2 linked regions of the Caenorhabditis elegans genome follow. The protein of the gene in region 1 interacts with the protein of each later gene in a pairwise test. Each region holds a gene or a part of one and is shown in the gene's direction. Other genes may lie near its edges. The genes, in order: apc-2 and apc-11.

Region 1 (5,692 bases):
TCGTAAATTGTTTTTAAAAAACATATAGCATTCAAGCTTCAGCCCATAATTCTCAAAAAGCCATGAATTGAGCTACAATCTTACAATTTGAAATCTTGCTCAAGATTTGTAGCTCTCTTGGTGAGTAGGGAGTTACGAACTTTTTCGAATGATAACACTTTTTTGTCGAAAAATTGCTATACCATAACGATACTTCGAGGTACCATTTTCCAACGTCTCTTGTTAGGTACGCACCTCCGGTTCCAACAATCTTTTAATCGTAATCATAGATGTTTTTGCCATATTCAAAAACCGCAACGTCTTATCCGGTAGCACTTGAGATTTTATAATTTTTCCCAACTCTTTCTCCCAAACTTGAGCCGTTCGCCATGCCGCCCAAGGTCCCAGTTGACGAAAAACAGCTCGCGTCGTCTTGAGAGAATCTTTAATCGGTCTACGAGGATCCAAATCTAGATCTGGATGAAATTCTGTTGTGGTGTTCACAAAGGCTACAGTTTCATCAAATATTTCTATAACTGTGTCGAAATTCGGAATACCCAGGCACCCAATTTCAAAGTCTTTGCAGATGATCACAACTTCATAGGGTTTCGCACCGTATTTCGAGAGCTAAATTAGTTTTATTGGAAACAAGTCTTTGTTTGTCTTTTTTAAATCATACCGAGACTAAATCACTAGCTGTCTCTATAACACTGTCCATCGCAGATTCCAACTTTTTTAACTGTTCCATTAGTTTTTCCGGCGCAACTTTCGCTTTGATAAGACTGGCTGTGAGTCCTAATACACGTGGGACGGGTTTGTCTGAAAAAATATTTCCGTATTTTGAAGCGAATTCGAAGTTTCACCATTAATTCCTCAATACTTACCCTTTTTCAATAACTTATAATCGACCATGATGCTTCTGTATGGATGTTGAGAACCGAGAGCATGATGACATTCGTCAAAGATCAGAACACACATGTCTTCAATTTTCAAGTACGCATGTCGAATCAAATCAAGAAGGCATTGAGCTGTGATCACAACAACCTGAAATATATATGCTCGATAGTTCAGCTTCGTATTCTCACTCACATGGTGCCTCTTCATGAACTGATCACATTGTTCTTTGCTGTCCCATAAACCACTACTTGTCTGTCCGTGGACCTGACCAACTTTGAAACTTGTGTGAACTTCGATGTGGATAGCTTGTTGTTCAACGAGGTTTACTGGAAAAAATGATGTTTTAGAATAAATCTTGTTTTTTTTTGTCAATTATTCACTTTACTGGCCAGCTGGCTTATTTTTAATAGACGAAATTACCTTTCTCTACAACAAAAAACGCTCGTTTTCCACCCTGATCCAATGGTGCAAACAATTGAACTCCATATTCTTTCAGCAGTAGAACTGCAATGAAAGTTTTTCCTGAACCAGTGCCTAGTTGGACGATTGTGTTCTTTTTTGTCGCTTTATCCAAAAGTTCCACCTGAAAATCGATTATTTTTAATTTATTTTGCTACTTAAAAATTACCTGGTAGTCCCTGGGGTTAAAACATTGTAAATCAGCTCTTACCCTGACCATTATTGGTCTGAAAACAGGGAAAATTGATAATGTTCAAAAATTACAATAAAAAATAATTGCCGCTGACTGCCCCGTAGTATGCGCTCTACTGAACCAATGTCTATGTCTCTTTCATGGGAACATTCAAAAGACGGAGGAAAAGTGGAATCGACAGAAATTTGAAAGAAAATACTCTGAAAAATCGTGTGAAAAAAAAGAAACAAACATTTTTTCGTATAATTTTTAAAGGAACATTTATTCGCGGTTTTTGTGGAAATGTAGTTTCCGAGACCCCAACCTTCGTTTTAAGCATGATCCTTTAATATATACAGTTTCTCACACATTTGTCATCGTTCTCTTCTCGTATCCTTGCTGAAATTATTTTAACCATTTCGAAAATGTCCATTTTTGACAGAATGACTACTTCGAAAGAGGCTGCGATGAAGTACAGGTATGGAATTTTTGAAAATGAGTTCCGTAAAGACAGTTTTCAGACAATTTTGCGTCTCAAAGAAAAAAGAAGTCTGGGATGCTCTGATATATCACGCAAAATACGCAAAAAATATTGAAAAAGTTTATGATATGACGACAGTTCTGCAACGAGTACAGCAAGAATGCCTGATGGTGAGTTTTAAAATTTTTAAATCCAATCAAGAACAAATTAGCCTTATTCTCAATTAAATGCTCTGAAAAATCTTCTCCTTATGGAAAACGGTCAGAAAATAGAGGTGTAACAAGCTAATGGAAAATAATTTCAGTTTGCATTGGAAAAAGGCGTTGGTCAACCGGATATTCGCGATGCTGCAGAGCTCATCTTCCCACTGGCCATGCAGAAAGTTGTTATCAAAGTTCTCAGACCTTATTTTATGTCGCACTTCACTAATTACAGACGTATTTTTTTTTCATTCAGCCCCAGTTTCCAATAACATTTTTCAGTTGCCATGTACCTTCCTCATCGAAAAATCGATCATGGAATCGATTTAAACCAAGAGCTGTGGACACCAGAAAAAAAAGAAATATGCGGGCAATATGTTCAAGATTTTAATCCTTTTGTCAATGAATTGTGGGTAAAGCCTGACTTCCTAAATTATATATAACATTTTCAGAAAAACTGGAATTCTCAATGCAAATCGTCACATGAACGCAGCACTTTCAGTGTATATTCGCGAGCTTGCTGCAACATTGGTGATGCACGAGAAAGCGGCTTTTGACAATGAGCTGAGATGTTCAATGTTTCAAGAAATTATGGAGAGTCTGAGGATTTGGTCAGATCAAGTAACAATGCAAGACGCATTCCATTTAATTAGTGACACTATTTACAAAGATGTCTTCCAAATGCTTTCCAAAAACGTGAGTTTTTAAAAAAATTTGGAACCTAAAAAATATTTTTTGTAGGCATATGAAATGATCGCCGTAGATTTTCCAGTAAAATTTCGCAGTCTCATCACAATGAAATATTGCCTTTTGAGAACTAATAATCATGGGAGAGTCGATTTCACAAATTACTTGATAGATCAAGTTAACACAAAACTTCTTGTTGCATGTAAGTTGGTGAGGGGAATTATTTAAAACTTAAATATTTAAAATTTCAGCGGTTGATACAAAAGACATTTTGAAAGCTTATGCGGCGTGCGTAGAATCTCTTCGTGAAATGGACAATAGTTGCGTGGTTATGCATAAAGTTTGTGGAGTTATCAGAGAATATTTGAAGTAAGCTATTTCCTGATTGTTTAATTATATTTAATTTTTTTTTCAGAAGGCGACCTGACACTGTACAACAAATTATCAGTTACATTACTTCTAATAAGAAAAATGAACTGGAAAAAGATATGGTAAGCGTGTACTAAAAAAACGTTTTCTAACACTTTTCAAGAGCTTACAGTCTAAAACTGTTCGATCGGCAATGATGGACGAGGAAGAACTGAAAGGTGTCAACGATGATTTTTTGCCAGAAAATATGGAGACGCTTGGATGGGAAAACTGGATGCCTAACCCAACTGATGCTACTGTTGGTTAGTGATTACAGATAAAAACTCACGGAAGTTCAATGACAATTCTCTCAAATTCAGTAAAAGTTATTAAAATGTTATTCTTATTTTCAGGTGATGGAGCACCCGGGCATCAAGGTGTTGACGTCTTCAATATGCTTGTCTCTGTATATGGATCCAAAGAACTTTTTGTCAAAGAATATAGAAATCTTCTTGCTGAACGACTTTCGAGTTCGGACAACAAAGATGTAAGTACTCTTTTCGTTTTCAACGAAGTCTATATCTTTTTTAGCCTGAATTCGAGAAGCGATACCTGGACTTGCTGAAACTGAGATTCCAATACAGTGAGCTACAACATTGTGAAGTGATGCTTCGGGACGTTATTCATAGTCTCGATATTGATAAAAAGTTTGAAGACATGAGTGAAAGAAGCGCTGGAAATTATGATGTTCCGATTATTCCAATTTCTGCATGTATCATCTCAAGTCATTATTGGCCAAAGTTGGAAACTGAAAAAACAGAAGCGGTGAGAATATTGCAACAATGTTACAATATGAAAAATTATTTCAGTTAATGCCTCAACCATTGCAAGCTGCGATGGACGTTTACCAAGAAACTTATCTGGACGTGAAGCGCGACAGAAAATTAGAATGGTTAAGAAGTGTTGGGTAAGTTTCATTTGTTGAATTATCATGTGAATTTTAACTTTTTAAAGATGTGTAGAGGTTTCTATCAATATCGATGGAGTTGAAGTAGATCGAACAATTCCAAATATGTACGCTCTTCTCCTCTTCTTGTTCCTCGAAAAAGAAACATGGACAACTGCTGAAGTAGTCGAGAAAATGGGAATGTCAGTGGTTGTGACAAGAAAACGATTGGAATGGCTGGTTAAACAAGGATTTATTTGCATGGTAAAATAGAAAATTATTAAGTTATCATATAATTTCATTCTCAGAATCCCATTATCAGTAGCGACACGTGGACATTGACCCGGAATCCAAGTGGAATTTCCATCGTTCGACCAGGCACACCGGACCTTGAAGACGATGAAGATGTGGAACCGGAAGAGAATTCTGATATGGTTGATGCTTTAGAACAATATTGGGGATATACTAGAAATTTCATTGTAAGTAAAACTTAAAATATATAAGAATAAAAAAATCAATTTTCAGGCCAATCATGCACCTAACGGAGAAGTGAAAGCGGAACGGATGCATCGTGTCTACCGTATGTTCGGTTCTCCAACTTCTGCAGGACCCACTCTTGATCATGTTTCCGCGTTTTTGCAAAGAAAAGTTGCGCTGGGACTGCTAACCTGCATTAATGGGTCATATCGTATCATTCAGGAAAAGAAAGACGGCGAATAACTTCTTTCATTTTATAATCTTGAAATTTTTTTTTTCTAAATTTAAACAAAGCTGGTATTTATGATGATCTAATTCTATAAAATATTTCAAAACAATTTATTAAAAAACAACAAAAAATGGCACAGTCGATTTTGAGATTCAAGAGGATCCAAAGAAATAAAAAAATTTAAACAAAAACTATTCGAGATCAAAAATTTGTGCAAAGATGAAGCATCGTCGTTTATTCAACGTTTGACTCTCTTCAATCTTTCGACGTATTACATTTCCGTGATAAAGATGAAGCGACTTGGAGAAGAGAAAATTCTGCAAATCATATTTATATTAATTCAGTCTGAACACTTTTTTTCCGAACCTTCACAAAAATTTTGCACTTATCGAACCATTCTGTGTACATGCGACTTGATTGTCCTCTCATCATTTTTTGATACAAATCGTACATCTTTTCACACGTTCTTCTCGAAAAGTCCAGATCATCTCTATTCGAACTTCTATTCACATTTGATGATATATGTCTTTCCAAGAGATCGTCAGCCAGAAATGACACGTGGATCTGTATATCTTCACTGCATGGTATCGGGATATCAGACAAATCAAGTGGTACTGTAAGGCGAACTTTAACTGCCAAATCAGCACTTCCACAGTCTCGGCAACTCTGAATAAAGAGAATGATAATTGCCAAAAAGAGATCGAAATTGAAATATTACACAATCTTCCTTTAGCATCTCGACAAAATGACCTGGGGCGTGTGATTGGCAGACCTTTGTGAACACAACATATTGAATGTTCTTTTTCGAGTAGTGGTT
Region 2 (2,948 bases), 3.5 Mb from region 1:
AAAATCATCACTTTTTCGTGTTACAAATAAAATAATATACTTTTATTATTTATTGGGTTTTTACGAGTTTTTTATGTTGATTTTAAGTGTAGAATTTTCATAACGCGAATACATTATTTTAAAGGAGCATAGGCGCTGGTGATCGCTGGGTCTCGCAACGAATACAGTACCCCTCAGAGTTACCTTGCGCGGCCTCGTTTTGTGTTTAGTTTTATATTTCCATTTTCAATCTTTCTTTTTTCTTCTTTTCTTTCAAATCAATAAGAAAAATAGTTAATTTGCACAACTTGAAAGTTTTCTATTTGAATTCTCTGTATACAGATATTCAGTAACGCCCAAAAATTCTTTGAATTCCAGATGTCGTTGAGTCGCTTGTCATCTCCTCAGACATTCTCTCGCGTTTTTATCGTTGCGCGTGGAGCTGCAACAGGACGTGAGTTTATTTAAATGCATTTTCTCATATATAATTTTTTGTTTCAGATGCTGTCGCCCCATCATCAGATAACAGCATCGGGTATTTTGAGAAGATTGCTTATAGATTCAAAGGTAAGCATTATATTGTTTTTTTTTGTTATAGTTCTTTTACAGGAATCCCACTGCCGACGGAGACTGAAGCTCCAAAGTCCATGTTCGATGCCTGCAATAAAGAATGGTCCGCTCCTGAACTCCTTCCATCCGTTCCAAAAGATTTCAAAGAGCACCCAGATCGGGATTTGACCAATTATCCATACCCGTCTCGTCCAATGTACCCACCAAAGACTCGTCTCTTGATGATGCCCGATTCGTGGTTTACCGCATTCCAAAAGGTTACTGGTACCTCTGGTCCATATCTTTTCTTCGGAGGACTCTTTGCTTTCCTCGTTAACAAGGAGTTGTGGGTGTTTGAGGAGCAAGGACATATGACTGTTGGATGGATTCTTTTCTATCTTTTGGTTTCCAGAACCGCCGGCTGTTAGTGACTGAACATTTAAAAATAACTTTTTTTTTCTTTTAGATAAAATCGATGCTGGTCTTTACAAGGACTATCAGGAACGCGTTGGTTTCTTCAAAGGACTTATTCAAGAAGATTTGAAGGAAGCTGTTGATTTCCGCAAAACCTCTGCCGCTCAAACCGCTTCATTTGCTGCTCTCAAGGAAGGCATGCCAACTTCTCTCAAGGATTCCATGCAGCTACAGCTGGAGGCCGCTTATAGGTGAGCTAAACAATAAAACGCGCTCTATCGCAGTTTTTTTGAAAAAAAAACCGCGAATTTTGTTACTTGAATATAATCTCCTAATCTCCTTTTTATTCTGTATTTTAAAATTATTTTTCAGAAAGAATGTTCAAACCATTTCCAATGAGATCAAGCGTCGCATCGAGTATTTGAAAGAGACCGAGGAGACAAAGGCCAGATTTGAGCGCGACCAATTGCTGAAGTTGATCAATGACAGTGTCGAGAAGCAAGTCTCCCAGAAAGACTTCCAGGAAAAATTCCTTCAAAACGCCATTCAACAACTCAAGGGTATTGCTGTCTGAAGATCTCTCTTTCACCTTTTTCAGTGTTTTTGTCGTTTGTTAAATTATTCTCGCACACAACATAAAACCAGTGATGATAATAGTGGCGTTGTTTTCTTTCTCATAAAATTTTGAATTTTCAATCGTGTTATTGTGATTATCGAACAGGTTTCAACCTTATTTATCAATCCTACCTATATAATGATTTCGTCGTACGAGCCAGAATCTAATTGTCAATATAAAATATCACATTTGATAGAAATGGAGCAACAAATTCAAATGGACGAACAGGAAAATGATGAATCACAGGGAAACGATGATCAACAAAATATGTCGATGAGCAGTTCTGAACTTCATACTGTAAGACATATAAGAAATAATTCGTATCATATTTCGGTTTTCAGATGCAGGATGATCATCCAGGGATTCTATTAAAAACCAACACTCGGATGAGCATTACCGTCAAAAAGTTACATGTTAGTTTGTCAAAAAAAATTGAAGTTTCAAAAACTTGACATTTTTCAGGTTTGTGGAGAGTGGAAGTGGTTACAAGGAGGTGAAGATACCTGTGGAATTTGTCGAATGGAATTTGAATCGGCGTGCAACATGTGCAAGTTTCCAGGAGATGATTGCCCATTGGTTCTGGGAATTTGTCGCCATGCTTTTCATCGTCATTGCATCGATAAGTGGATTGCAGCACCAACTAACCAACCAAGAGCTCAATGCCCGCTTTGCAGACAAGACTGGACAATTGTAGAGTAATCTACGTTTTTATCTTGTGTTTCCATTTTTTCATGTCAAATGATACTCAGTTTTCCTCATTTGTATTTTAAATTAACAAGAACGAAGACTTTTTAAATTGAAATATTCATAGTGAGAAATTCATCAGAAAGTATAAAAATATCGCAATTGAAATCGAATTGTAAATTGAGCAAGAATCATTGAAAAGGAAGAAGAAATAAAAGACCGGCGAGCACATGAAGATCAGAGCGAGATGAGAATAATATTTCCAATGTAATCAATACCCAACAATGACTTTCTCTCCACCTTCCGGATGCTGACAACGACCACGCATCATCTCGTAGACTTGTTGTTTGATCCATGCACGTGTACGACCAATGTATTGCCCGGTTTCCTGAAAATGAATTGATTTGGGAGGATATGCAGATCAATAATACATACGCGATTGAAGATCATCATAGAAACATCGGAGAGCTTATCGAGAAACTCGTAGACTTGCGACACGTCGTATGTGACTGGAGCAGCTGATTTCTTGGAAAGGAAATCTTCAAACATCTTGCAAAGAGCTGAAAAATTCCATTAAACATAATAATTCTCACGGAATGGTTACCATCAAGAGCGTCAGTTACACTCTCATAATCTCCCCAAGTCCGTGAATCAAGACGTGGTGATGTTTGAATCAGAAGTACGGTATGTGAAGAAGTAGACATAT

What was found.
Region 2: the proteins of apc-2 (region 1) and apc-11 interact in binary tests that used the Caenorhabditis elegans proteins (3 or more experiments, as listed by UniProt).

Annotation. Positions count from the first base shown.
Region 1 is NC_003281.10:8,078,720-8,084,411, forward strand, and holds apc-2 (Anaphase-promoting complex subunit 2), read left to right. Parts: upstream 1-1,909; 5' UTR 1,910-1,932; coding exon 1,933-1,985; intron 1,986-2,028; coding exon 2,029-2,158; intron 2,159-2,292; coding exon 2,293-2,425; intron 2,426-2,470; coding exon 2,471-2,597; intron 2,598-2,640; coding exon 2,641-2,884; intron 2,885-2,929; coding exon 2,930-3,077; intron 3,078-3,126; coding exon 3,127-3,244; intron 3,245-3,290; coding exon 3,291-3,366; intron 3,367-3,407; coding exon 3,408-3,546; intron 3,547-3,636; coding exon 3,637-3,770; intron 3,771-3,814; coding exon 3,815-4,048; intron 4,049-4,092; coding exon 4,093-4,190; intron 4,191-4,237; coding exon 4,238-4,433; intron 4,434-4,477; coding exon 4,478-4,648; intron 4,649-4,694; coding exon 4,695-4,889; 3' UTR 4,890-4,982; downstream 4,983-5,692. Other genes in the region: dcr-1 (Death-promoting deoxyribonuclease), read right to left, coding at 235-606, 659-798, 864-1,023, 1,069-1,202, 1,297-1,459, 1,505-1,555; K06H7.7 (uncharacterized protein), read right to left, coding at 5,067-5,192, 5,242-5,541, 5,594-5,692. UniProt on the Caenorhabditis elegans protein: Probable component of the anaphase promoting complex/cyclosome (APC/C), a cell cycle-regulated ubiquitin ligase that controls progression through mitosis and the G1 phase of the cell cycle.
Region 2 is NC_003281.10:4,593,231-4,596,178, reverse strand, and holds apc-11 (Anaphase-promoting complex subunit 11), read left to right. Parts: upstream 1-1,754; 5' UTR 1,755-1,756; coding exon 1,757-1,855; intron 1,856-1,899; coding exon 1,900-1,971; intron 1,972-2,020; coding exon 2,021-2,257; 3' UTR 2,258-2,316; downstream 2,317-2,948. Other genes in the region: asb-1 (ATP synthase F(0) complex subunit B1, mitochondrial), read left to right, coding at 358-433, 481-546, 589-951, 995-1,193, 1,315-1,516; erh-2 (Enhancer of rudimentary homolog 2), read right to left, coding at 2,514-2,630, 2,678-2,802, 2,847-2,946.